Rattus norvegicus: one gene and its partners. Each later gene encodes a partner of the first gene's protein in a complex. Links are inferred from orthologs where the notes say so. Each region holds a gene or a part of one and is shown on either strand. Other genes may lie near its edges. The genes, in order: Med7, Med13l, Med13, Med26, Med4, Med1 and Med12.

Evidence for each region.
Region 2: Med7 (region 1) and Med13l share a complex: the UniProt entries of both Homo sapiens proteins name them as parts of the mediator complex. The link is inferred for Rattus norvegicus from reciprocal best matches to the Homo sapiens genes MED7 and MED13L.
Region 3: Med7 (region 1) and Med13 share a complex: the UniProt entries of both Homo sapiens proteins name them as parts of the mediator complex. The link is inferred for Rattus norvegicus from reciprocal best matches to the Homo sapiens genes MED7 and MED13.
Region 4: Med7 (region 1) and Med26 share a complex: the UniProt entries of both Homo sapiens proteins name them as parts of the mediator complex. The link is inferred for Rattus norvegicus from reciprocal best matches to the Homo sapiens genes MED7 and MED26.
Region 5: Med7 (region 1) and Med4 share a complex: the UniProt entries of both Homo sapiens proteins name them as parts of the mediator complex. The link is inferred for Rattus norvegicus from reciprocal best matches to the Homo sapiens genes MED7 and MED4.
Region 6: Med7 (region 1) and Med1 share a complex: the UniProt entries of both Homo sapiens proteins name them as parts of the mediator complex. The link is inferred for Rattus norvegicus from reciprocal best matches to the Homo sapiens genes MED7 and MED1.
Region 7: Med7 (region 1) and Med12 share a complex: the UniProt entries of both Homo sapiens proteins name them as parts of the mediator complex. The link is inferred for Rattus norvegicus from reciprocal best matches to the Homo sapiens genes MED7 and MED12.

Annotation. Positions count from the first base shown.
Region 1 is NC_086028.1:31,353,633-31,357,836, forward strand, and holds the start of Med7 (mediator of RNA polymerase II transcription subunit 7), read left to right. Parts: upstream 1-1,404; 5' UTR 1,405-1,450; exon of another isoform or gene 1,451-1,998; intron 1,999-4,048; 5' UTR 4,049-4,204. UniProt on the Homo sapiens protein: Component of the Mediator complex, a coactivator involved in the regulated transcription of nearly all RNA polymerase II-dependent genes.
Region 2 is NC_086030.1:43,663,020-43,667,094, reverse strand, and holds the start of Med13l (mediator of RNA polymerase II transcription subunit 13-like), read left to right. Parts: upstream 1-1,275; 5' UTR 1,276-1,730; coding exon 1,731-1,802; intron 1,803-1,832; exon of another isoform or gene 1,833-2,722; intron 2,723-4,075. UniProt on the Homo sapiens protein: Component of the Mediator complex, a coactivator involved in the regulated transcription of nearly all RNA polymerase II-dependent genes.
Region 3 is NC_086028.1:71,618,402-71,621,901, reverse strand, and holds part of Med13 (mediator of RNA polymerase II transcription subunit 13), read left to right. Parts: intron 1-1,072; coding exon 1,073-1,194; intron 1,195-2,664; coding exon 2,665-2,755; intron 2,756-2,879; coding exon 2,880-3,094; intron 3,095-3,367; coding exon 3,368-3,500. UniProt on the Homo sapiens protein: Component of the Mediator complex, a coactivator involved in the regulated transcription of nearly all RNA polymerase II-dependent genes.
Region 4 is NC_086034.1:17,332,547-17,336,569, forward strand, and holds the start of Med26 (mediator of RNA polymerase II transcription subunit 26), read left to right. Parts: upstream 1-1,223; 5' UTR 1,224-1,491; coding exon 1,492-1,563; intron 1,564-1,587; exon of another isoform or gene 1,588-4,023. UniProt on the Homo sapiens protein: Component of the Mediator complex, a coactivator involved in the regulated transcription of nearly all RNA polymerase II-dependent genes.
Region 5 is NC_086033.1:55,112,579-55,116,078, forward strand, and holds part of Med4 (mediator of RNA polymerase II transcription subunit 4), read left to right. Parts: intron 1-818; coding exon 819-905; intron 906-2,415; coding exon 2,416-2,547; intron 2,548-3,105; coding exon 3,106-3,278; 3' UTR 3,279-3,500. UniProt on the Homo sapiens protein: Component of the Mediator complex, a coactivator involved in the regulated transcription of nearly all RNA polymerase II-dependent genes.
Region 6 is NC_086028.1:83,679,046-83,682,545, reverse strand, and holds part of Med1 (mediator of RNA polymerase II transcription subunit 1), read left to right. Parts: intron 1-971; coding exon 972-1,078; intron 1,079-3,500. UniProt on the Homo sapiens protein: Component of the Mediator complex, a coactivator involved in the regulated transcription of nearly all RNA polymerase II-dependent genes.
Region 7 is NC_086039.1:70,461,810-70,465,043, forward strand, and holds part of Med12 (mediator of RNA polymerase II transcription subunit 12), read left to right. Parts: intron 1-1,040; coding exon 1,041-1,418; intron 1,419-1,638; coding exon 1,639-1,789; intron 1,790-1,931; coding exon 1,932-2,137; intron 2,138-2,298; coding exon 2,299-2,376; intron 2,377-2,463; coding exon 2,464-2,681; intron 2,682-3,234. UniProt on the Homo sapiens protein: Component of the Mediator complex, a coactivator involved in the regulated transcription of nearly all RNA polymerase II-dependent genes.

The DNA of each region.
Region 1 (4,204 bases):
AAAGACCGAATGGCATTTTCTTGTAGCTGCCCAGATAAAAGGACAAGAAGAAAGGAAACTGCTCTTTCGTTGCTTGCTCTCATTCTCACTGGCAACTTCATCTGTCCCACTGCTGTGTCATTCCTTTGCCAGTATTAGATCCAAACTTTTTTGGGATTCCAACACAGACTGAAGAGCAGCAGCTCTCTAAAAATCCTCCAGGCCTCCAACGCCAGGTGGGGTCTGCTGAGACATCCAGCCCCTTAGACTGAGCAGCTACGGGATTCTCAGCCTTTCAGGTTGGAGGCAGCCATTGTTGGACTAGTTGAACTGCATCTTGTAAGCCACTCTAATAAGTTATATGACATATATATCCATGTGTGAACACACACTCATTTGATCAGTGTAACAACCCCTGGTACACTTTCAGTAAGATAGTAATGCTATGGGCATGGGAAAAAGCGAAGAGCCCTTACCTTTGAGAGGCTCATACTGGACTAGAGGCGAACTGATGGGGAGCATATAGCTGTGGAAGTTGGTGATGAGTAGACTGTTCTTTCGCTTTTATGCCTGCAATTCTTCACATATTTAAAGGAAGAAACTGGGACATTCTTGTCTCTGAAGCAGAGCTGTTTTAGCAGAACAGTCTTATCTCACTTTTAATTTGCAACAAGCGTTCTTAAGACTCCCATGAGTTAGGACATCTGTTAACAATTCTTTTATATGTGTGGTGGGGGAAGGCCTAAATGGAAAGTTTTCTTGCTGGTCCTGATGGCTCATTTCTGAACCTCTGGCTTTCCTGAGGCTCGGAAGAGACATTTGAAACCATGTGTAGCCTGGGCTACACAGTGAAATTGCCCACTCCTTCTAATTTTAAAAATTACATTAATTTTTTTTTTTACTTGTCGGTTTGTGGAAGAATTGTCATATACATCTTTGAATTCCTAAATGAAAATAAAAGTGAACGGAAGGGGGAAAATGAAGGTGTAGGATGTTAGTCTTAATCATGTTCCCAAATATCCCCATGTATGTATGAATATATCATGGAGTACAACTTGCTTTAAAAAAATTTTTTTTGATGATAAGGTTAGCATTGATATTTTTAAATATTGCTTATCTGTATTTTCTGACTTATATAAGGCAAATATTTAATTTTAAGAGTCTTATATAAAGGGGGTGGGCGGCGAGGAGTCGAATTACTAGAGAGTACTTTCTTTTACTAACAAGAAGTATGAAGAAACACTCTCCTGACCTGACCAAGAAGATAGACAAGAGATCTTTTCCCGGGAGAAGCGGGAGACGCGGGAGTGCGCATGCGCAGTATCTTTAGGGCGGGAGTAGGACCTGCTATAGGACAGGCTTCGTAGCCAATTAAAGGCCCGCGTCAGAGGCTTCTTCCTGAGAAGGCAACCGGAACTTGTGCTTCCGCTGCGCTGAGGAAAAAGTCGCTACGGGAAAAGCTAGAGCTGAGGTGAGCCGGCGCGGCGTTTGGCGACCGCAGCCAGAGTCTGTCTCTCCGCCCCCGCGGTTGCGTCTTTCCCGGCGCCACGCCGAGGTCCGGCGCGGGACAACCTGGGAAGCCCGGGCTCGCCTTCCTCCCACGTCCCTCAGCGGAGCCTCCCCGGGGCCTGAGGCAGGCGGCTGGCCGAAGGTGCGCGGAGTGCGGCTCGCTCCGGGCGTCTCGCGGACCGGACGACGAGCCGGACCGGAGGTTGGGAGGTCCGAGTTCTCGTCCCCACGCCACGGGCTTTTAAAGTGTCGTGGCCTTAGCCTGCCCTGTCGGCATTAGTAAAATGATAGTAGCCACCTGGGAGCGCGGAGGCTGGGGGAGGGGAGGGAGAGCCTCGGGCGGATCTTATCCTGTACCAGACTTTACGAGGGACAGGGACCAAGTGAGCCAAGTGTCTGAGCTTGCGACCACTCCCCCCCCCCGCCCCCCAAGCAAATGCTAGAAACTGAATTTTGTTAGTGTTAGCAAGTGAGGACATCCAGCGGCTCTGAAAAGTTCAGTTTAAACCGGTGAGGGCGGTTTTTGTAAGGTGGCAGGCTCTAAAACGGGATGCTTGAGTTATCGGGGTTTGCACTTCCGCGCAACAAAACGAAACAGCCAAACAAAACAAAACAAAAACGGAGTACAAATTCCCGTTATACATTTTACCCACTTCTGCACATTGGAAACTGGCTTCTTGTTTCTAAAATCAAATTGGGAATAGTTGTGCCGTTAGGAAGATAGAAGTGAGGATGCCGGTCACTTATTAGAAACCTTTGGGAAATGGGAATTTAGTATGGGTGTGGCTAAGGGAAGCGCAGATCTCATCTTCAAAAGCCCTCAGGGGACGAAATTTAGGCTGGGTGTTGACTTGATGTGACTGCAAATAGACACTAGTATCTTAGGTATATATACCCTGAAATAGTTGAGTTGGACGACCTGAAGAATTTGAAGTGACTTCCCTCAGATTTAATGTATTCCAGGTGTACGGAACCTGTATGTTACTTTCCCCTGTTACCTTGAATCTCAGTGTGAAAAAGCGCTCAAGAATCTTCTCATTGTATAATGTACTTAAACTCAAATTGGAAAAGCAGAGGGTATTTTGACCATATATGTTGCAGTGTTGGGACTTAGGTGTTAAATTTATGTAGAAAAGATGTTAAAATGCCAATTGTCAATAAAACTGTACTATAAGATGTTTGTAAGATGAGGCTTCCCTCAGAAACCTTGGAAAATTCTAGAAGTATGAAATTTAACAAGTGATTTTTGTCAAGACGTATAGAGAATCTTAAGTGTTTGGTTTTGGAAATCACTGTACAGTAGAAAGCAAAGTGAGATTGATAGACACCATATGTAGTTTGATTATGGAAAAGAGAAATAAATAAGGCATATGACTTTGTATATAACTGTTCTTTCCCAGAGTAGGTTTCAACGTATGCCTACCAAAAGGAGTCAGGCATGAAAAAGAAGTATATCATATACCATGTATAAGCCCCCCAATACAGACCCTTTTCTCTTAGTTTTCAGAATATATGTTTGTTCTTTGAGAATTTTATACACACACACAAACATGTGTGTTTTGATCATGCTTGCTTCCTCACTCGTCTAATATCTTGCAGACCACTACCATATCTTACTCCCAATTTTATATATTTTTAAAATATTTTCTTGGTTTTTAAAGATGGATCTTTAGCACAGGCTGGCCCATGTAGTTCAAATGGGCCTTGAACTCACAGCTATCATGCTTCTCAATCATTAGGACTCAACAACCATCATGCTTAGGGCAGTTTAAAAAATTGTTTAAAAATAACAGTAAATAAAGTCCTCTGCAAACCCGCAGTGGACTCTGCTGCTTGTTTTCCCACTTTGAATGCTTTATTTACATTTGTCAGGTTATCTACAATGTGTGAGTCCTTAATGCTAACATCATTTTTTAAACAAGCAGAACAGATCTTACTGAACGATCATATGAGTGCTCTTTAACAGGTGAGAAGGGCTCGAAGAGATTAAAAATAATCGTAGGATTTCCAAGTGAGGCTGTTCCGTGTTCTCAGAATTTCCTTCATAGACAAGGTTTGCACACCTCGACTTGGGTGTGTAGTTAGACACTAGACATGTCTCATGGTTCTCACTTCTGTTATCCTCACTGCAGTGAACATGGCGATTCAGCATTTTAAAGCCTGATTCAGTTAAGCAACAACCTGTAGTCTTGGGTGAATAGAGTTAAGAGCCAGGACACAGCAGGCCGTAGGACCAGAGCAGGTATTGTAAAGAAGACATGGTACCTGGGAGTCCGTGACTAAGTATGTGTAAGTGGTGATTCTACAGTAAAAAGGAGCCTGCCATTGTCCACTGTCAGTTGCAGAAATTGTACAATGGGAATTTATACTTGAATGTTGGAACCATAACTCATGCTATCACAAAGTAGACAGAGGGCAGACCTTTTTGGAAGGCCATCTTTGTGTGCAACTTTCTGCACCTTCCCTGCTCTATCCCATTAGTCTAACAAGGGACTAATCAGATCTTCATAAAGCCATAGCTTTGCCTTATTTTTCTCTTCACTTCTTCCTCCTTTGCCAGGATTACCTGTCTCCCTAGGGTGAAATTAGCACACCTGTTGTCTTTGCTGGCCAACAAGTTCTCAATTTTTATACTTCCCATCAGGAAGCTTGAAGATAATATGGTCTGAACCCACAACGAACTTGTACTGAACATTGTACTTGTGTTGATCAGGCT
Region 2 (4,075 bases), on another chromosome or scaffold:
AATAGCATCTTAACAGAAATGTGTGGCTTGAGGTCAGCAGGTCAGCAATTAGGATTTGCTTTGGACAGATTAGAAAATGAGGCATAGTTAAACTTTGTCGGGCAGGGTCACAGCTAGGCATAGCAAAGCCAGCTCCTGGCATCCTTTCTAGAGCCTTCTGAATTCAGATAGTTCCGGTGTTCAGCCACTCAGTAACTTGGGGATGCACCCGAGCTAGCTCACTAGTTTCTGAGGACTCTGCAAAGTGACCTATGTGTATGAGCCACCTTCGTTGCAGGGTTTAAGGTTTGTGGTACTTTCAAAGCTCCAATTGGTATGTAAGATTCGTCTCCCCTTTATTTCGCTCCCATCACTCTCAACAGCGTTTTATTTTTCCTTTGTTTCTTTGAGACAGTGTAGACCACGCTGGTCTGGAACTCCCAGAGATTACCTGCCTCTAAGTGCTGAGATTACAGTCATGCCCCACCACACCCCGATAATTCTACCTCTTTTCAAGTCAACTTTTTCCTTTTCTCTATTTTGGGGCCAAAAACTCCTGGAGGGCAGTCTCCTGTATCAGCACTTCTTCCAGCCCCATTACTCTGAAGAAGGAATGCTGGTTATTGACCGCTTGGAGCTGGAGGCAGGGCCTGCTCCCCACATAGCACAGTGTGAATGTGGCACCTAAGAGCGTTGGGATCATCTATGCAAGGAATGCCTGCGTGCACGCACACACAGAGTGGGCGCGAAGGGCTCCAGAAGCACGGGTGCTTTAGGAGCTCAGCGCTCCGTAGGCAGCTAGCCCGGAGCCCTGGCTTCCCGATGCCCGGGTTCGAATCCCGCGGCCCCGGGCAAGCGCCTCGCTGCCTTTGTGTCTCCGAATCCTACTCCTCCGCCCGGTGCGATACGGCCGGCGGGCGCGAGGTTCCGAGGAGACACTCCTCGGCTCGCTCCAACAGGCCCGGCCGGCCCACGCCGCGCTTCAGGCCGGAGCAGCTAATAGGGCTCGGAGGCCGCGCCGGGGAAGCCGCGGCCTCCTCGGCCCGCGACTGACGCGCGCCCGCGCCCAGGGCGGGGCGTCCACGCAGCCCCGGCGTCCCACGGCAGCCCGCACCTCTTTCTCTCCCTCCCTGGCTCCGTCCCCGCTCCGAGAGGGCCGCGCTCGGCTCAGCAGCGCCTCCCGCGAGCCACCGCCGCCGCCGCGGCCCCTCCCCCGCCCCCCGCGCGGCCGGCGCCCGTCACGTGACGCACCGCAGCCAATGGCGGGCCGAGCCGCGGTCGGCGGCCGCCATTGCTGTCAGAGCGAGCGAGCCCGGGGAGGGAGGAGAAGCGCGGCCGACTGGGGAGGAGGGGGGGGTGGGGAGGAAGAGGAAGGAGGGGACGGCGCTCGGCTGCCGGGGTCGCCCGCTGGCTTCGTCCGCACCCCCCCCTTCGCGGGCTCGCGCGGCGGCGGCGGCGGCGGCGGCTCCGGGCGGCTGCGGGGCTCGCGTGCCTCACGCGCCGGCGCGGCCGAGGGCGAGTCGCCCGCCGGCTGGAGATAAACAAGGCGGCCGACGAGGCGGCGAGGCGGAGGCGGAGGCGGCGGCCCTGCGCGACAGAGGCGGGCGGCGTTGCCGCGCCGCGCCCCCCGCTGCCGCCGCCGCCGCCCTCGGGCCTCCCGCGCGGGCCTCGCGCCCCGGTGCCCGCGAGCCGCCGCCCGGCCCGGCCCGCTCCGACATGCCCCGCTCTGGCGGCCGGGCTCGCGGAGGACCATGACCGCCGCGGCGAACTGGGTGGCGAACGGGGCGAGCCTGGAGGATTGTCACTCTAACCTCTTCTCGCTGGTGAGTGGCGGGGCGGGGGCCCGGGTGGGGGGCGCGACCTCCCCGCCGCGCAACTTTCTCCTCCCGGAGCCCTGGCGGCGTCGGCGAGCGCGGCGCCCGGCGTGGACGTGCGTGTGGAAGTCGGGGCGCTGCGGACGCCGGGGCGCGCTCGGAGCGCCCACCTCCGTGGCAATCACACCCCTCCCCTCCCCTTCCCCCTCTTTTTTCTTTCTTTTTTTTTTTTCCTCCTCCTTCCCGAAATGTGGAAGGCTTCTCCGCCTTGTGCAGCCGCCGGCGCCGGTGATCTGCAGGCTCGCCCTCTCTCTCCCGATCGGATCGGCCGCTCGCCCGTGTCTGCTTTCTGAATTTTTCTTTCTTTCTACCTCCCTCTCTCTCTTTTTAAATTCCACAATGACACCTGCGATTTCGCCCGAAAACAGTTGATGGAAGGCGATGGTGTCAGGCAAAGGACTCTGGCAGCTGGAGCTCGCGCGGTTGTAAACACGGACAGCCGCCCGCCTCTCGAGGCTTACTATGCCGGAGAGCGGGAGAGCCGTTGCTCGGAGCCCACGGAAGGTGGAGGAAGCTGGTGCTCCTCGCTCTCCTCCGCTGCCTTTAAAAACTGTTTTCTCTGCCTTAACAAGGAACACACACACACACACACACACACACACAGACACACACACGCGCGCGCGAGCAACAAGCTGGGCGGTTTGATAACATCGCTTTTATCTGCCTTCGCCTCGCCTCTCCCGCTCTCGCCTCTGATAATTGACAACTTTTGCTTTGGAAGTGCATCGCCTGCCTTAATCTCGAACCATTTAGGGTGTCAATTGTTCTTCTGGAAGCCTGGCACCGGGTGGCGGCGGCTCGATTCATCGAAATTAAAAATGTATAGGGCTCCAGCAACTCTTTCCTGGCGGTGGCAGTGACATTTGGTGGTAAATGCCATCTTTGCTTTTTATTGGGTCGTATTACCTAGCTCTGAAAACATTCGCGTTGTTAAACCTGGCGCTTAGACTGATAATGGGAGTGCGTGGTCTTTAAATACGCGCTTTGTGCCTGAGTTACTGTATGTGGAGCTCTGTGCCCCGGAGAGTAAGAATTTGTTTAAATATTGAGCAAAGATTTGTAAACAGATGTAAGGCAATTATGTTTCAAGTGTAGAATATAATTGGAAAATTGGTTGAACGGCCTATTTAATTTAGCCTTAAAAACTGAACTTATTTTAAGTTGTGTGCCCAATTTTGGTGGGGGAGCGTTATGGGTGCTGCCTTTTGGAAAGCATGCGTTTATTGCAAATTATTTTCTGGAACCCCTGCTGTAGATAGAAGCTTTTTTTCCTTAGTCCCTGTTTACACTGGATAAATAATTTAGTGTTCAAATTGTAATTAGTTACATTTAATTATGGGTGGCATAGATGTTTTTTCTCCCCTTGGAGATTAGTGGAGAAATACGAATTGTTGCCAACTTTGGAAGTGTCATTCTGTTTTCATGCCGATAAAGAAATCAAGCATGATTTTGGCCTACAAAGACTGAGTGACACAGTACCCCTGCTTCCACTCTTGTAAGCAGACTGATTGCAGGTCACCCCGAATTTTATCCAGAGGCTGAGTTTCAAGATTCAGTTAGCAGTTGGGGTTCTTCCTTTTACTACTGTGGGAATTTACTCTTGATCTTTTGATGTGAGATAAAACTACTTCTGCCTCTTTTTTCACCCCTCCACCCCCACTTCCCCTGTTTGTCATTTAGTATTAGATTCAGGGACCTTCATAGATCAGCAAATGTATTGACTAGCAGGGTATTCCCCCCCCCCCCCCCCAATTTGTCGACTGGGCGATCACAATGACACTTTTACAGGTAATTAAAATAACCAAGTCAGCCACGTTAGTTGGCCACATTACTGTCATCACGCTGAGCAGCAGTGCTGTGTGCATGTGGCTAATTTATATACAATGTGTTGTGCGGGCAAATGCAAGCCTGCCCGGCTGAACAGCCCAACTCTAGGATCCTTCCTCATTTCTCTCAGCTTCAGCGAGTGAGGGGGTAGAGAAGAGATTCTTTGTTGAAGATTCTGAACTTTGATTTTGACTGCATTCTGGGTATTTCTCCCCTAACATATTTAAACCAAAAAGTTGACTTTGGAATATAAAGTACAATTAACTTTTTGGGTGACTAATTTTGGAATGCAGAAATTGGTTTAGATTTAGATTGGTTTAAAAATGTAGACTGTTTATATGGAGGTGGATAAATGGTGTTTAATTTTTAAGAACTTTATCTTTATTTTATAAGCA
Region 3 (3,500 bases), about 40 Mb from region 1:
TAGGAGCCTTAAAGCTCTTCTTACCTAGGTTTTTTTTTTTTTTTCCTTCTTTTTTAATGTATGATTATAGGTCAGAACAGTTAATTATAGGTCAGAATAGTTAATTCTGAAGTATATTCCCCCTTTGTGCTAAGCAATGGAACCTGTTCCTTCTGTCCAGTTGTATTTTGATGCCTATTTCATGTCCTCTGCTCTGTTCTTCCCAACCTCTAAGAATCATACACAGGAAAAATAATGGAACAAAGCATGATATCAAGCCTTTAGACAAGTAATCATACTCCACTATTATCTGTAAATATTGTGGTTTTTTTTAGCAGATACTTAACATTTATTCATTATACACAATTAGCTTGATATTCTGTGATTGTATCTTTATTCAGATGCTCTCATGCAACCTTCCTTATTTAAACAAGCCCTTCTGTTTCCAAATGAAAAAAATAAGACCTGGATAGATGGCTTGTTTTTGCTGGACAGGCATAGCAGTCAGAGTTGGGGTCCTGAGTAGCCACATAGTGTCAGGCAAGTGTGATGGGGCCTGCCTGTAATTCCAGTATGAAAGAAGACGAGATAGGGAATTCACAGAGAAACCTGGATAGTACACTCATTGAATCAGTGAGCTCTAGGTTCAAAGGAGAGACCATACTTAAATGTTTAAGTTAGGAAGCCACTAAGGCAGATACCCCATGTCAACCTCTGACTTGCACATCATGCATATAATGTGTGCACAGGTACCTGTGAAACGGCACATATTCCATCACATCACGCGCACAAAAAGAAAAAGTATGTGTTTAAATCTACCATTCTAATGGCATTTATGTTTTTATTACTTACATATAGAGCTTAACTATGGAATAGATTATATAACTTTTGCAGCTTCCTGGGGAAGAGCTATTGTTTGTTTATAACTTTATTTCTGAGAAAAAAATTTCAGGTTTTAAATAAGAGAATAAGAATAATTTGTGTTGCAGAATTGTCTTTATGAACATTAGCCTTTCTGTCTTGTTTAGATAAGTAGATACTACTTGGCTAATAGTTGAGTTTTCAGTATATTGTTTCTGATTGTCACATGTAGATGCTCCACGCCCTGCTAATCATGCCCGTCCTCCATCAACCAGTTTGATTTATGACTCAGATCTGGCTGTGTCTTATACTGACCTTGATAACCTCTTCAATTCTGATGAAGATGAATTAACAGTGAGTATCCTATTAATGATTAGGATTAAATTAAATTTTATTGATTTCATAACAGTTTAAGTTTTGGAAGTGATTTATGACTTTAGTACTATGTTTTAGCTCTGAACAGTAGGAGATATTTTATAATAAAACGCAATTGGTTGATTTTGCTTTCATGTTAGAATCATCTTAATATGGTTTCTTAAGAACCTTGATGTGGATATATTTGAAAGATACATGGTCAAGTTTCATTGAGCTCTACCATGTAATATTTTTTCTTTCAGTCTTTAGAATGATTTTTCTGTTCTTTGACCCTGTAGTTTGAGAAGTGAGTCTGGAATTGAATTAGAATGTTTACGTAATTAACATTAGAACTTTACACGTTTCCAATTGAGTAAAAAATGCTAGTTCTTCTGAAATTGTTTGCCATTACTTCTGTCACTACAAGACATAGACTTGAAAACAGTCCAGGAGGAAACAGAGCACTACTGCAGTGTTTTCAAAGAAAGTTGAAGATAAAGGTAAAAACTTTAAATGGATGTTCTAGAATGTCAGTTGTCTAGCAGGTAATGAATTGGGTGCTGCAGTATCGTAAAACAGATTCCTTTTCCGTCTACTTAAAAGTAGCTTAGGACTGGCATACTTGGTGTTTGTTGTCTTATAGAATATATCCTGTGAGGTTATCTATCACACGTTTGAACGTATAAGTCTATTACAGATATTGGTCAGTTATAGCTCTATGTGAACACTTGCTCTTTACCCTCCAGTGTAGTGTGTACTAGGGCACTCTTCACTGGGGAAAGAACTCTGAATATGTGGTAGACAGTTCTTGTCTTTGTTAACACACAGAAAGCAGCTGTGGCTTTTTGGAGGTAAAACATTAGTCATATATGTGCTTTACTTACAAAGCTTTCAGCGTAAGATGTGGAACAAATGTTCCTTCTACAAACATTGGTATTTTGCACATGCTTTTAATCCCCATTCTTGGGACATGGAAGCTGGAGGCTTGGGAGTTCAAACAAACAATCAACCTACAAAAAAAGTTGGTTGTGGGAGAGCTAATACTTGGTTTGTTAGGAAGTCTTCCTGAGCTTATGCTCAGTATTAGATCTGTAAAAATATTTTTATAAGAATAATTTTATTAAACCAAGCTGAAAATATAAAGCCAAATTAGGAAGAGTTATTAATTATATAGGAAATTTTAATATCTTTTAAATTAAGGGACAGAGCCTTTGAATATCTTTTGCTAAAAAAAGAATTCTAGTCTTAATTTTACATTTCTTATCTTTTATTTGGTTTTAAGTTACTGGTTATTCTTGCTTTTTTTGATGTATTTTCTTGTTGCCTTTTTCTCTGTTAATTGAGAGTCTTATCAAATACATGTACTATCTATTATGATATTTGGCTCTGTCATAGTTTCAGAAAATGATCGATTAATACTGTGTGATCACTTTGGCTTTCAGATTAATATGCCTTTTCCCTTCCCCATAGCCTGGATCTAAAAAATCAGCAAGTGGATCAGATGATAAAGCCAGCTCCAAAGAATCAAAGACAGGAAGCCTGGATCCGTTGTCTTGCATAAGTACGCATCCCAGATCTGAACTCTGCCTTGGTTTAAAAGTTTACTCCCACCAAAATTTCTTTTGCTTTAAACACAGACTCCCTTCTTTCAGTTTATGTTAACATGTGTGTTGTATTAAACACAGGCACTGCAGACCTTCACAAAATGTACCCCACGCCTCCTTCACTGGAGCAGCACATTATGGGCTTCTCTCCAATGAACATGAATAACAAGGAATACGGTAGTATGGACCCCACACCTGGAGGAACTGTGCTGGAAGGAAGTAGCTCTAGTGTAGGAACACAGTTCAGAATTGAGGTTGAGGAAGGGTTCTGTAGCCCTAAACCTTCTGAAATTAAAGTAAGTATTTTTCTAGAAAAGTCATTTTCTCCCTGTGTTTTCTTATAGGCTTAATTGCTGCATTCAAGAATCTTTTCACAGTTGATTTTAGTTTTGTGGCTAATATAAGGAGGGAATTGTGAGAACACTATGTAAAATGCATTAAAGAATAGAAACAAAATATTTATACTTTGTGCATTTAATGAACAGAGTAAAGAAGACAGTCGCTTTGATTCTGTTTGTTTTCATCCCTGGAATATAAGGCACTGAAAGTCCACGTTCTTTATATTGTAGGATTTTTCTTACGTCTATAAGCCTGAAAATTGTCAAGTTCTAGTAGGTTGTTCCATGTTTGCACCTTTAAAAACTCTACCAAGCCATTGTCTGCCTCCTATCAAATTGCCGGAAGAGTGTGTTTACCGGCAGA
Region 4 (4,023 bases), on another chromosome or scaffold:
CCAGCACTCCCTAGAAGTATAACAAATTAAAATTAACAGGTGTCCCGCAGCTCTCAGGAGTACATGTGATTTTCATTACCTGTTTCCCTTCCGTTTCATGTCTGGATTTTTAAGGTTACGACACAAAACGAAAGTTATTTCTCCCGAAGCCACTGTAATACAGTGCGCTAAACTCGGAGCCCGCCCTCCCACTCCACCTGCCGGAGACCACAGCCCTTATACTTGATATCCTTCGTTTCTTGGTTTGACCTAAAACTCACGGTGACCTTGGCGCTTCCCTTCCTCCTCGGTGAGGCGTTCCTGTTTTCCAGTGGCTGGGGTGCAAAGCAGGGATCGTTCCGTCCGCTCCGAATGCGGAGGGGACGATGCTGAGCGATGGTTCCGCATCCTGTTGTGCAGACAAAGACTGGCCACCTCCAGTTCGCCTCTCAGGAGGGCTACAAGAGCGGTGCTTCAACGCAAGGCCCTGGGTTCGGTCCCCAGCTCCGAAAAAAAGAATTAAAAAAAAAAAAAAAAGAGCGGTGCTTCTTCTTGAGTTCCAGCCCCTCGTGGATGCACAGCCAAGGTGTCAGCGTCGCGCATGCCTTGCAGACTCGAGCCCTCGGCGGAGGCGGCAGCTCCCATACGTGCCCTTAGGTCCCAGCAGCGCGCGGGTCACATGGGGACACTCACTGCCCTGCAGATCCGCGCCTGGGGCCTCTGCAGCGGCGACGGCTGCGCCTAGATTCTCCGAGCTACTCGCCGCACGGGTCTCAACGCAGACAACCGCTGCCCTTCTTAGTGTCCCTATGGCCGCTCCAATCCTCTGATTCCTCAAAGCTAGAGGTCCTCATCCGGTGGAGGGTCTTACCATTCCGCAACCCCAAAGCAGTTAGCAGGAAGAGCCGGTGTTCCAGGACTTGGCATGTGAGCTTCCGTTAGGAAGCCCCGCCCCCTAGTCCGGAGTGGGCGTGACCTTCGGATAGCGTCCGTTGCCACGCCCAACCGTCTCCCAACGGCTCTCTGGATCCGGCCTTAGAACCCGGCGGCAGGACCTGATAAGTGCGCATGCGTGCGCGTGCGCAGAATCAATGGGCGGGGCTCACAAGCCGGCCCCTCCCAAACCCGGCGTCTCCACCCGCCCCCATCTCCCAACCTCCTCAGCGTGGCGCCGACGCTGCGTGCGGCGCGGGTTACCCAGAGTGCTCAGCGCGGGGGCAGCTCACTGGAGTTTGGTTCTCGAGGCGGCGGCGGCGGCGGTAGTGGCGGAGGCTTCTCCGTCGGCTCCTCCTCCTCCTTGCTCGGCGGTGGCGGCGGCGGTCCGGGGCCTGAGCTCCGGTCCCCTCCGCTTTCCTCCGTCCTCCGCCATCTCCCCGAGCGCCTCGACCTCCTCTGGCGCCGCGGGGAACATGCGGCTCCGTTCCCGGAGGCCGGCGAGTGACTGACCTGCGTCCCCCCTCCTCAGCCTGCCCGCCCGCCGGCCCGGCCGCTCCCCCCCGCTTCGCCCAGGCAATGACAGCGGCTCCGGCGTCTCCGCAGCAGATGAGGGACCGGCTGCTACAGGCCATCGACTCCCAGAGCAACGTAAGTGACTGCCGCGCGATCGGGGACCGAGGCCGCATGTGTCGGGACCCTCCCCCTCCGACGCGCCCCTGCCAGGGGTTCTCTCCGGGCGGTGATCTGCCCGCCACGGCCGCTGCCATCTCGGTGTCTCGTTCTCCTGGGTCCGGAGGCCGAAGGCAAGGCGGGTACCCCGGCAGCTGAGGGTACCTGAGGCCGAGGCTTCACGCGGCCTGGACTGAGGGATCGTTCGGAGCTTTGATGAGAGCTGGTTCTCCTCGGTTGTCCCAGCCCGGCTGCCCTTGGTGCTCCCCACCGTGCCCTTCTTGCCTCACCCCAACCCCGGGAACTGAGAACCCCCCGGAAAGGTCTCCCTGCCGGGGGACAAGGTAGAAAGCAACTGGTGTCTCCGCGATGACTCGGGTAGCCCGCGTCTCTGGAGTCTTGGCCTTTACTCCCCCTCGGTCTTCTAGCGAATCCCCTTCTTGGATTCGTAGGGAACCCTAGGCCTGTTCTGCCATCAGTCTGTCTTCCTGTGATGCCTGGAGAGTATCCTCTCTTCTGATAGTGGGTCGCTTCCTAGAAAAGACGACTCTGCAGAGAGTGGGACCCTTCCTGTCACCTCTCTTGGCCTAAATGCTCCATTGCGCGTCTGACCAGTAGCTAAAGCCTGGGATTTTAGTACTGAAATACTGCCGATCACAGTAGATTGTTCTCTTATCCCTATCTTCCGGTCCTCTTTCCATCTCTCTTGCTCCACCTGAGGTGCTTTGGACTCTAGGCTGTCAAGATTTAATTGTAAGGGATCACACTTTCCTCTGTCAAGAGTCCTGTGAGCAGTAGGACGCCTTTTTTCTTCCTGTGTGAGTGTAGACTAATTTTACTTGTTCTTGTATTTTTTCCAAAGGTTTGTTGGCAGTGCAGGGGGCGGGTGTCCTTGTTGCTGTCAGGAGTAGGGCCATGGGAAGATGCACAGGCATTCAGATATGAAGTGTTTGCTGGGAAACCAGGAAGTGGCTTTTGAGATCACTTTTTAATATGCCCAGGATGGAAGAAAAAAAATCATCTTGGACCAGGTAACAGAGGTTTGAACCTTTTTGGGTTCCCTTGCCTATGCTTGGCTAGTTACTTGTAGCAATGTGCTGTATTGTGTGTTCAGAATAATTCACATTGTTTGTGTGGTCTTGGTAGAAATAGAGATGTTCTAGTTTCTATGAGAATCTACTTGCCAGATTCAAAATTATTCTCTTCCTAGTCTTTAGGATCACGTCGATAGTAATTTAGTAAATATTGTAGACTTTTTTTTTTTTTTTGTGGTGGAATAGAGACAGGCTAGATAAAAATCTTCTAGAAAACCTTTCTTTTTTGGGGGGCGGGTTTAAGGGTTTTTTGTTTTGTTTTGTTTTTTGCCAGTGATTGGTAATAGCTGACTAATCACATGATTGATATATTAGGATATTAAAAGGTAAAAATAAGTGATAGGAAAACATAGCCTTGATGGCTTTTGCATCTTTGCTGAAGCTATAGTGTATAGTGTAATCTTTTTGATGTTGTTTTTCGAGAAGGGTTCCTCTTCTGTGTAGGTCTGGCTATCCTAGAACTTGCTCTTTGACCATGCTGCTGGCCTCAGAGATTCTCCTGCCTTTTCCTTCTGAGTGCTGGGATTAAATGCTTGCACTATCACTGCTCCTCTCTTCCACATTGTAAATCTTACACCTGTGTAACTCCTTGCTGAGATCTTCTCAGAGATCCTGACTGCTTGCATGTGAGAGTGTTGGGATCAGCAAGTGCTTTGACAGGTAGTCATGATGTTGTAGATCAGGTGGGGTCCAAGTGCTAGGTAAGGGTCTGACTAAAAGACCCTTTGGGGATAGAAGAAGGAAGATAGAGGGCCCAAATTTTAGTTTGTGTCTTTTTTCTGAGACTGTCTCTGGAAGTCACTATGTATGTAAACCAGGGTGTCCTCACAGAACCTGTCTGCTTTTACCTGCTTTAATCCCAAATGCTGGGATTAAAGGTATGTGCCACCATGCTTGGCCTCCAACTTTAGTTTCTTGAATCTTCCCTTGGTCCTAAGTGCTCATTGGCCTGTGAGTAAGTTGCTTGGAGTGTGTATCTCAAAGGGCTGTAGTGATAGGAGACCTTGTTGTGGCTGGAGTTGAGAACTTATCTCTGAGTGAGGAGGGGAGTGTTTCCCTAGATGCAATGTGTCAGTGACTATCCACAAAAACAACTAGGTATATGTTCTAGGGGCTAGCTTTGCAGAATCTCTTTGTAGAATCAGCCTGGAGCACTGTCCTCCATTTCTTGCTGAGGGGTGCCCGGCCATTTGCATTGTCTCTGTGATTGTTCAGGGCCCAGGTAAGAGCCGCATGTTGGTGCAGGGATCTCTGCTCTTGCTCTGATCTGCCCAGTTATGAGCTCCACCACTTGGTAATTGACACATATTTAGGATGTTCATGGAAAAAATACAAAACGGGGACA
Region 5 (3,500 bases), on another chromosome or scaffold:
TTGTAGGCAGAGATAATGACGGAATCCACACAACTACCTGAGAAGGGAACACTGGAGTCAGCATCAGCTGTACACGTGCCTGCCGCTCGGCCTTTAGGCCTTACACTTTCTAGTCAGGAGACCGAGAGTGAAGTCTCTGCTGTCGCTTTAATGCTCTGTGGATTTGGGTTACAGTTAACCATTTCTCTATCTGACTTGTTCTGCTTGCCGGTATGGAATCTGTTTCTCATTGTTATACCCAAGAAAACGGCTAATATTCTCAGAGAGACGGGTGGGCTTCTGTAGCAGAGGCAAGCCTGTAGGAGAGGTGGCTGAGTCCATCAATCAGGACTGGGTAGGAATCCATAGTGCTTTTTGAAACAGGTCTAGAGTTCATAGAGTACAAATCTTCCCATTCCTCAGAGGTAACTGCTGTTTCTGTTTGGTGCACAGTCCATGTAGAGCCTCTTCCTTTGTGGTCACAGAGGATGTGGACTGTTTGGTTAGCCGCTTGGATGTTGCTGGAACGAAAAGCTCTCCCCTTGGTTTACTGTTCCTCACTGTGACATTCAGAAGAGCTCTGCATTTGCCGTCGGCCAGTAATGGAGATTACTGAGCATTATCATGCTGGCCTTAGATTTATGGTAGCTGACCTCGCCGAGTGGGTGCCTTGGTTCTTTAGTTAGACATATATGTGTAACAGTTTTGGTGTACATGAAGGTGTTTGGGAGGATAGATGGCTGAGATGAGCCTGATAGTTAAGTGTGGTGTGTGACTGTGACGTGTGCTCTTCTAAGCTTGTGTTTAATGGTCTGTCCTGTTCTGTTTTCTCAACTCAGGCGCTATCTCCTCTGAAGAAATCATTAAGTACGCACACAGGATCAGTGCCAGCAATGCTGTATGTGCTCCACTGACTTGGGTTCCAGGTAACAGTGCTTCTTTTCAGATGAATGCAGGTTAAGCGTCCTGAGGTGCATCTGTAGCATTCTAAGTGCCTGTGTAGAACACAGAAGGATACTGTAACTAATTCCTGTTACATTGTTTTTACCAAGCAGTGATGGGAAGTGTTTTTTCCATTTTACTTTTAGTGCTAATAGGTCAATCTGGGACACTTTCAAAGCAATAGGTTCATATACTTGTAACACCCAGGCTGGCCAGAGCCAGTCCTTCAGTGCCATTATATTCCTGCAAAGCCTCAGCCTGAGAGGCAGTCACAGAACAAACACCCAGCGCAGTTCACCAGCCGGGAAGAGCGGGAGCATTAGGGACAGCAAAGATAATACAGTGCAGTCCCAGCACTGCAGATCAAGTAGGAGATGGGAAACCAGAGCTGGAGCAGCGGCCTCCGTGGAGGATGGAGAGAGCCAACTGGGCTCTGCTCACTCCTGACCGGTGTTTGTTGTTGCTGAACACAATGACGGTGGCTGCAGTCTGAGGATGGGTAATTCCTGGTGAGAAATATTACCAAATTTGGGTGTGGGTGCCATCCCAAACTGCTATTCAGTGTCCCTCTTTGATGGGAATGACAGTAGGTTCTTGTGATAAAACTGGAGAGGTGTAGAAACTAGTCTGTGTATGTTTCTTTGTGACAGGTTTATGTCTCCTAGTCTGGTTCTATCTTATGTATTTGAAGGTGACCTTGAGCTGTCCCACCTCCACCTTGAGTTGCCTCTGTGCAGTCCTATTTCTACTTCCAAATGCTGGGCTACGGGTGTGATTATAGGCGATGTGCCCACCACCCCTACTTTTTTTACCACCCCCATGTTTTTTACAAAACATAGAATGTATATTCCTGGGAGGATTCAGAGAAGAAACAAAAATGTGTGCATTTTGAAAATTAATATTGGGAGCTAGAGAGATGGCTCAGTCATAAAGAGCACTAGCTGCTCTTGCAGAGAACCTGGTTCAATCCCAAGTTCACACATGGCAGTTCACTTGTCTGTAACTCCAGTTCCCCCGGACTTCTGACACCCTCACACAGACATGCATGAGGCAAAACACCAATGCACATAAAAGAAAAATAAATGATTTTAAAAAATTAATATAATATAGTCTCTTTCTCCTCCAGCCCCCTTTCTTTTATTCATTGAGAGACAGTTTCTCTGTGTAGCCCTCCCCGTCCTGGAACTCACTTTGTAGACCAGGTCAAGTCAGAGTCCTGCCTCGCTCTGCCTCCTGAGACCTGGGACTAAAGTTGTGTGCCGCCGTACCCAGCTTGAGAATAGTAATGGTAACCTCAGGCAAGGTGTGGTAGCACATAGCGTAGGCAGCTGTGAAGAGGCCGGGGCAGGCCTGCAGCCTTGAGGCTAGCATGACTACCTGCTGAGACCTGTCTTACAAGCGCTCCGGTCCTTTAGTGTGAACAAGGACAGCTAATTCTTCAAGAATATATACATGATTTTAAACCTGAGTTAAAAGCTGTCTTTATTGTTTTAGGAGACCCTCGACGGCCATACCCAACTGATTTAGAGATGAGAAGTGGATTGCTGGGTCAGATGAACAATCCTTCTACCAGTGGTGTGAATGGTCACCTCCCGGGAGATGCCCTTGCAGCAGGTAGACTGCCAGGTAATGCTAACTGGATAGGCGTTTTCAAGCGACAGGGTTATTCAGAGGTGGCCGTGAGGCAGTGTCTAGCATTGGGCACCAATATTGTTACATAGATTCCCTACCAGTTTATTGTTCTGTGCTTCATCCAAAGACCCAGCAGTGGTGCATAGGTCACTGACCTAAGCCACTCTGTCCCTCACGTGCATCTATCTCCTATCACCCTCCCCAGGCCTGGCCTTCCCTTATCGTGACCACTCTGAAGAGCATTTTTGCAGTTCTGAGGCATGCTCACAAATAGAATAAGCTCATTTTGTAGGTGCCATGTTTAATGTGAGAGAATCTTTCTAAGGAGAGGACATAAGTGGGGGACTGTGCTTTCTGAAGCTATCACTTCTGTGTTAACATGTGGGTTTGGGAATCTGCTCATTTGTGTTTAGTATTGCGAATCCTTCTTGTTAGATCTTGGTACTGTAAGGTAAGTGGGTAGGTAGATAAGATTAAGATTCTTGCATAGAGGGCGGGGATCGAGTAGATGGATCACAAGTAGAACCAATCCCTTATGCTTCTTCTCCTCAGATGTCCTTGCTCCACAGTACCCATGGCAGTCAAATGACATGTCTGTGAACATGCTGCCGCCAAATCATAGCACTGACTTTCTGTTGGAGCCTCCCGGGCACAACAAAGAAAATGAAGATGACGTTGAGGTTATGTCAACAGATTCCTCAAGCAGCAGCAGTGACTCTGACTGAGAAAGGGGTGGCATGCAGACTCCACTGCCACAGAGTTCTGTCAAGTGGGAAATGGAAAGCACAGACCTCTAAGGAGCCCAGGAAAGTCAGTGGTCTTTCTTCCTGTAGCCAGAACTGCTGGTTCTCATCTGTTACACACGTGTTTGAGGGTTTGTCACAATTACTGTTGTGCTTGGTTTGTACATAGCAGCTATGGGATGAGACTGAAGGAGAACTGCACAA
Region 6 (3,500 bases), about 52 Mb from region 1:
GTGCTATGGCCAGTTCACACCCGTGCTTACACATACGCAGATAACAAACACAGTCTGGTGTGGTTTCTAGTAGCATTTTAAATATTTGTTTTACATATGTGGGTGGTTTGCTAGCATGTATATATATATGTACCACATGTGTGCCTGGTGCCTGTGGAAACCAGAAGAGGGCATCACATCCCCTGGAACTGGAGTTAGATATGTTTGTGAACTTCTGTATGGACGCTGAGAATCTAACTTGAGTCCTCTGGGAAAGGAGCAAGTACTCTTTTTTTTTTTTTTTTTTTTTTTTTTGGGATCTTTTTTTCGGAGCTGGGGACCGAACCCAGGGCCTTGCGCTTCCTAGGTAAGCTCTCTACCACTGAGCTAAATCCCCAGCCCCGAGCAAGTACTCTTAAGCACCGAGCTATTTCACCCTGGGTTTTTATTGTTGCTGTTTGTTTTAAGACAGGCTCTTCTTATGCAGGCCAGGCTGGTCTTGACATCACAAAGGTCTGACTACTTCTGACTCCTCCGAGTGTTGGATTAAAAGGAGCATGTCACCATGCCTGGCATAAAAATAAAATTTAAAGCTATTTTCTAAGTTGGACACAGTGTGTACGTGTAGTGACAGTGACTTTGGAGTCTAGGGCGGGGGATTGTTGGGTCCGAAGACTCCAAGGCCAACATAATGGACAGCTTAGTAAGATTCTGTCTCAGGAAATCTCTGTGTTGTATACACATTTGAGACAGTATTCCTCTGTAGCTCAGGCTAGCCTTGAATTTACAAACCACCTGCCTTAGTATCTCCAGTACAGGGATAAAAAGTATGGGTGGTCATCTTACTAGGCAGCTTTCTGTATGTTTTGGAGTAAATTATATAAAAAATACTTGGACAGTTGTAAGTGAAATACAGGGTTTCTTTTGCAGGAGAAATGGTGGAAGGTCTTGGTATCAGAGTGGCTGCTGATGTTTTCTGCTTTACGTTGTAGAGTCAGAGAAGCTGAGTAAGATGAGTTCTCTCTTGGACCGGCTCCATGCAAAATTTAACCAAAGTAGACCTTGGAGTGAGACCATTAAGCTTGTGCGTCAAGTCATGGTGAGTATTGTGGCTCAGTGGGTAAGGTACTAAGAACTACCTAAGGAACTGGCCTCTCCCCCGTAAGGGTTGCTAGTTCCAATGTTGTGTCCTTGCTTTTGCTCACCACGACAACATGGTGGTGCTGATTTCAGAGGCCAGCTGAGGAAGGAAGTGCCTTAGGAAGGAGGTAGCTTAAATTCCCATATCCTCAGAGGTTTCATTCTAGGACTTCTCCCAGATCAGAGGCAAGCAGGTGTCTGAGTTGAAGGCTAGCCTTGTTTACAGAGTGAGTTCCACGAAAGCGTGGGCTACACAGAGAAACTCTACCTCAAAACAAACCAACAAAAAGGTACTGTCTTTGCACACTATTTATAAACATTCTCCTGTATACTTTAAGCTGATATCTACATTACTTAAAATGCTTAGCAATACAAATAGCTTGTGAGTATTTGTTATGCTATGGTGTTCACTGTCAGTACAGAACAGTATTTTTCTTTTTTTTTCTTTTTTCTTTTTTTTTTTTTTAAGATTTATTTATTCATTTATTATATATAAGTACACTGTAGCTGTCTTCAGACACACCAGAAGAGGGCATCAGATCTCCTTACAGATGGTTGTGAGCCACCATGTGGTTGCTGGGAATTGAACTCAGGACCTCTGGAAGAGCAGTCGGGTGCTCTTAACCGCTGAGCCATCTCTCCAGCCCAAGAACAGTATTTTTCTATTAGAGAAGCGGTCTTTGGTATCCTTCTCTGGCCTTCAACTTGATTTGGTGAAGCAGTTGGGCACGCTGGCATTGAATTTGTTCTGTCGTTCAGGTAGGCTTTGCGCACCATTCTTCTGCTGCAGCCTCCCAGGTGACCTATATCATATGGTCCTTTTCAGTCAGGGACTTCTGTGTAGCGTAGGTTGGCCTTGAATTTGCTGTAGATCTGAGGCAGTCCTCCTGCTGTAGTTTCCCAGGTGCCGAGATGACAGCTGTGTACCCTGCTCTCTTCAGGTTCTCTTTGGTCTGTTTGAAATAGGGTCACATTGTGTCTTTTGGGGTTGCTGTTTTGTGTTTGCTTTTCTTACCTCTTGTTTGGTACCCATCCACTGCTGGTGTCTTTCTCTGTGGTACTTCTTCCCTGAGTGGGCCCCAGTGCAGTGTTACTTGAACGACTTAAGCAGAGGTGGAGCACTGGGGAAGCATGCTGGCTGTATGCTAAGTATTCATTCCCACCACTCAGCCACAGTCAAAGGACAGGGATTCACTTGTGTTTTAGCTTTCCTATGTATAAATTACACTTTAATGAGAATATTTCATCCTCCCTATAGTTTACTTTAATTCCAGGGTAAGTCTACTTCAACATCTTTATTACCCTTTATCTGGCCAATCATCAGAATATTGGTAGTGTAAGAATAAATTTGTTAATAAGGTCTGAGCCAAGGGGTGTAATTAATTCAGTGGGAAAGCGTTTGCTTAGCATGTATAAGACGCAGTCATTCTCTAGCAACAGAGGAAAAATAAAACAAAAACAAAAACCCTGTACTTTAGACTCCTTGGCAGTGCTGCTGTGTGACTTTGAACAACTTATGTAATTGTAATCTCTGAATTTGTTTCCTCATGGGAGCAGATGATGCTAGTTTGCTTATCTAAGACGTTTGTTTTTGTTTTGATTATGTGTGTGGGTGTTTTTCTGCATGCATGCCTTTGTACCCTGTGTGTTCCTGGTGTCCATTCAGTCATCAGATCCTTGGAACTTGAGTTACACCTGGTTGTGAGCCACTTTGTGAGTGCTGAGAATCGGTTCTGAGTCCTCTGTGAGACCAACCAGTTCTCTACTGCCGAGCATCTCTCCAGCTCCTTTTCCAAATGGTTTTGGTAAATAATGGAGATAAACAATGGAGGGTGACCTTGAAATGACCTTTATTGCCGTATCCCCCCCCACCTCGGAGTGCTGAGGGTTCAGGTCAAGGCTGCTGACTGATCACTGTCTTGCTGGAGATTGAAGTCAGGCCTTTATGCATGCTGGGCCATTGTCCTGCATTCTGAAACTCTGGATTCTAGCCATAAATGCATGTGCATCATCTTTTAGATTTCAGACAAAAAAAGTGTTTTTAGTTTTTTCTTTTTGTTGTTCCATAGTTTGCTGTTTTGAGGCAAGGTCTCATATATCCCAGACTGTTTCCAACTGTATAATTCTCCTGCCCTGGTCTCCTGAGTGCTGGCATTTGAAGCTTGTGTCACTTTTTCTTCCATTACATTTTTTTTTTTTCTTTTTTTCGGAGCTGGGGACCGAACCCAGGGCCTTGCGCTTGCTAGGCAAGTGCTCTACCGCTGAGCTAAATCCCCAACCCCCCCATTACATTTTTTAAAGTACATTTACTTTTTTTTTTTTTTTGGGTTCTTTTTTTCGGAGCTGGGGACAGAACCCAGGGCCTTGCGCTTCCTAGGCAA
Region 7 (3,234 bases), on another chromosome or scaffold:
TACTGTTCTGCCTGTCTCAGTCCCCTCTGACTTTTCTCCATGCCCTGCCCCCCTCTCTGCCCCACTGTTTTCTCATTTCCCAGCATTCTGTTGGCTCCTTGTCTCTTTTCTCCATGTCTCTCTACTTGCCCAGCTCAGCTTCCTATTATTTTTTATGTTGGTTTCAGTATTTGGATTTAAAGCATTATGTGCTTGGGTATGTGTAGGCCATGTCCATGTGCAGGTGCCCACAGAGACCGGGAGTTGGAGTTCCATGTGGTTGTGAACCACCTGATGTGGGTTCTGGGAAACAGACCTGAGTCCTATGCAAGAGTAGCAAGGGCTCTTAGCCACAGGCCTTCTATCAAGCACTTGGTTGAGTGTTTCCTTGATTAACCATTTATTCTTCATAGCGGAGAGAGAAGGGGGGATACAGAGGTTCAAATGCAAAGCAAAGCTCCTCAGTGTACACATTCTCGTAATTCCTTTCTTATCATGTTTCTCTCCTCTGGCTGCTCTCCGTCTCTCTGTCCCTATCCCTGTCTTTCTCTTCCTGTTTCTCTCTGACTGCCTCTCTTTGCCCTCTTTAATTTTTCCTTCTCTCTCCTCTCCTCTTCTCTCCTTCCCGTTTTCTCTCCTCTCCCTTCTTTCCCTCCCCTCTCTCTGGCTTCTTTCTTTCCCTCATCTTCTGTCAGCTTCTCTCCTCCCCTCCATCTCTGTTTCCTTATCTGCCTCTTTAGTACCCTCTTTCTCTCCTGGTGTCCCCTTTCCCCTTTGCCCCCTTCTCCTTCAGTTCAGCTCTGCCCCAGGCAGAGTGTGTGTCCTTCATGTATCTCTGTGTTAGTGTCTCTCTCTTCTTCTCCTTCAGTTCAACTGTGCCCAGGCAGAGTCTGTCCTTCATGTATCTCTGTGTTAGTGTCTCTCTCCTCTTCTCCTCACATCCCCGATTACTTACCACTCTTTCATACTTTGAAAACTTATCAACAGATAGTTTGCCCTTTCTAGACATCCTCCTATTTTCCAAGTCTCGGTGGCTCATTGTTTCTCCTTTGCTGGAGCAGGGTCTACAAGTTTCCACCAAACAAAAGATCTCTCCTTGGGAGCTTTTTGAGGGCCTGAAGCCATCAACAGCACCACTATCATGGGCCTGGTTTGGCACAGTCCGAGTGGACCGCCGAGTGGCACGAGGGGAGGAGCAGCAACGACTGTTGCTCTACCATACCCACCTGAGGCCTCGACCCAGAGCCTATTACCTGGAGCCACTACCTCTGCCCCCAGAAGATGAGGAGCCACCAGCCCCTGCCCTACTAGAGCCTGAGAAAAAGGCTCCTGAGCCCCCCAAGACTGACAAACCAGGGACTGCTCCTCCCAGCACAGAGGAGCGCAAGAAGAAATCTACCAAGGGCAAGAAACGCAGTCAGCCAGCCACCAAGAGCGAGGCCAGTCCCCATCCCACCCAAGCCCTTTTCCTGACTTCATGTGTAGTTGGAAGCTAAAGTTCCTGCTTTATGGGAGGTGTGCAGTACATAGGGAAGAGGTGCCATTAGAATCATGATCCAGTGAATTGGATCAGTACCGCTCCTCCTTACACCCTCCTCCCTCACCTCCCCACCCAGAACTGCTGTAAGTCACTTACCTTTGTCCTCTGCACCCATACAGGACTATGGCATGGGGCCAGGTCGGAGTGGTCCCTATGGTGTGACAGTGCCTCCAGACCTTCTACACCATGCAAATCCAGGTTCTATATCCCACCTTAGCTACAGGCAGAGCTCCATGGGCCTGTACACCCAAAACCAGCCACTGCCTGCTGGTAAGTACTAGTCACTAGGATTGGTGGAGTTGAACATTCCTCCCTTCCCAGGGGAAATGTCGATGGCTGGAACTGTTAAAAAAAAAAAAATGAGGCTGAAGGGATAAGGATCTCCGAGAGGTCAATTTGTTCTCCTTTCCAGGTGGCCCTCGTGTGGACCCATATCGCCCTGTGCGATTACCAATGCAGAAGCTGCCAACTCGACCAACTTACCCCGGTGTGCTGCCTACAACTATGACTACTGTCATGGGCCTAGAACCCTCTTCTTATAAGACCTCTGTGTACCGGCAGCAGCAACCCACAGTGCCCCAGGGACAGCGCCTTCGCCAACAGCTCCAGGCAAAGATAGTGAGAGGGGCAGTAGGGAGGACTGCCAGGGAGAGGGGTTTTGGTGGGTCAGAGGACTGAGGAGATACTTGGAACCTTCACAGGAGCATGCAGGGTCAGAGGTATAAAAGAGACATGGCAGAAAGCATTTCCTGAACTTGAGTTCTCCTTTTTCCCTTTAGCAGAGTCAGGGAATGTTGGGACAGTCATCTGTCCATCAGATGACTCCTAGTTCTTCCTATGGTTTGCAGAGTTCCCAGGTAAGTGCCTGAGACTAGTAACCTCAGGGAGAGGGAAGCGAGTTGCTGTACTTCCTCATTCCCCAGATCTCTCCTCCTTCCCTCCAGGGCTATACGTCCTATGTCTCTCATGTGGGATTGCAGCAACACACAGGCCCTGCAGGTACCATGGTGCCCCCCAGCTACTCCAGCCAGCCTTATCAGAGCACCCACCCTTCTACCAATCCTACTCTTGTAGATCCTACCCGTCACCTGCAACAGCGGCCCAGTGGCTATGTGCATCAGCAGGCCCCAACCTATGGGCATGGACTGACTTCCACTCAAAGGTACCCAAAGTAGTAGTGAACTGGCAAGGGATACTGAGGTATAAGCAGGTATAAGCAAGCATCTGATTTGGGAAACCCTGTACTTGAAGGTGATAAATGGGCCTGAACTTTGGGAGGCATTAAGAACACTAATCTGGTCATGTAAGTATTGCCACAAATGACCTGAGTTGGAAGAAATCCTTGAGGAACTGACAGAAGAAACAAATATCTAACTTTGATAAGAACCTGGGGTTTATAGATACAGTATATGATACAGACTGCTAAATCCAGAATTAAACAGTTAACACCAGGACTGAGGATAAGGTTTACTTGATAGCATGCTTACTTAGCATGCATGATGTCTCGAGTCTGATCCTTAGCCCTACACAAAGCCTGCTATGTCATGCACAACTGCAGTGGTAGCACGCAAGAGGTACAGGGAGGAGGTCTTCCTTGGCTACATAATGGTTTGAGGCCAGTCTGAGCTACATGAGACCCTTTCTCAAGGGGAGAAAAAGCAGTTGTACTCTAGGATGGACTAACAAATGAATTTCATGGTTAATTTTAGTCAAAT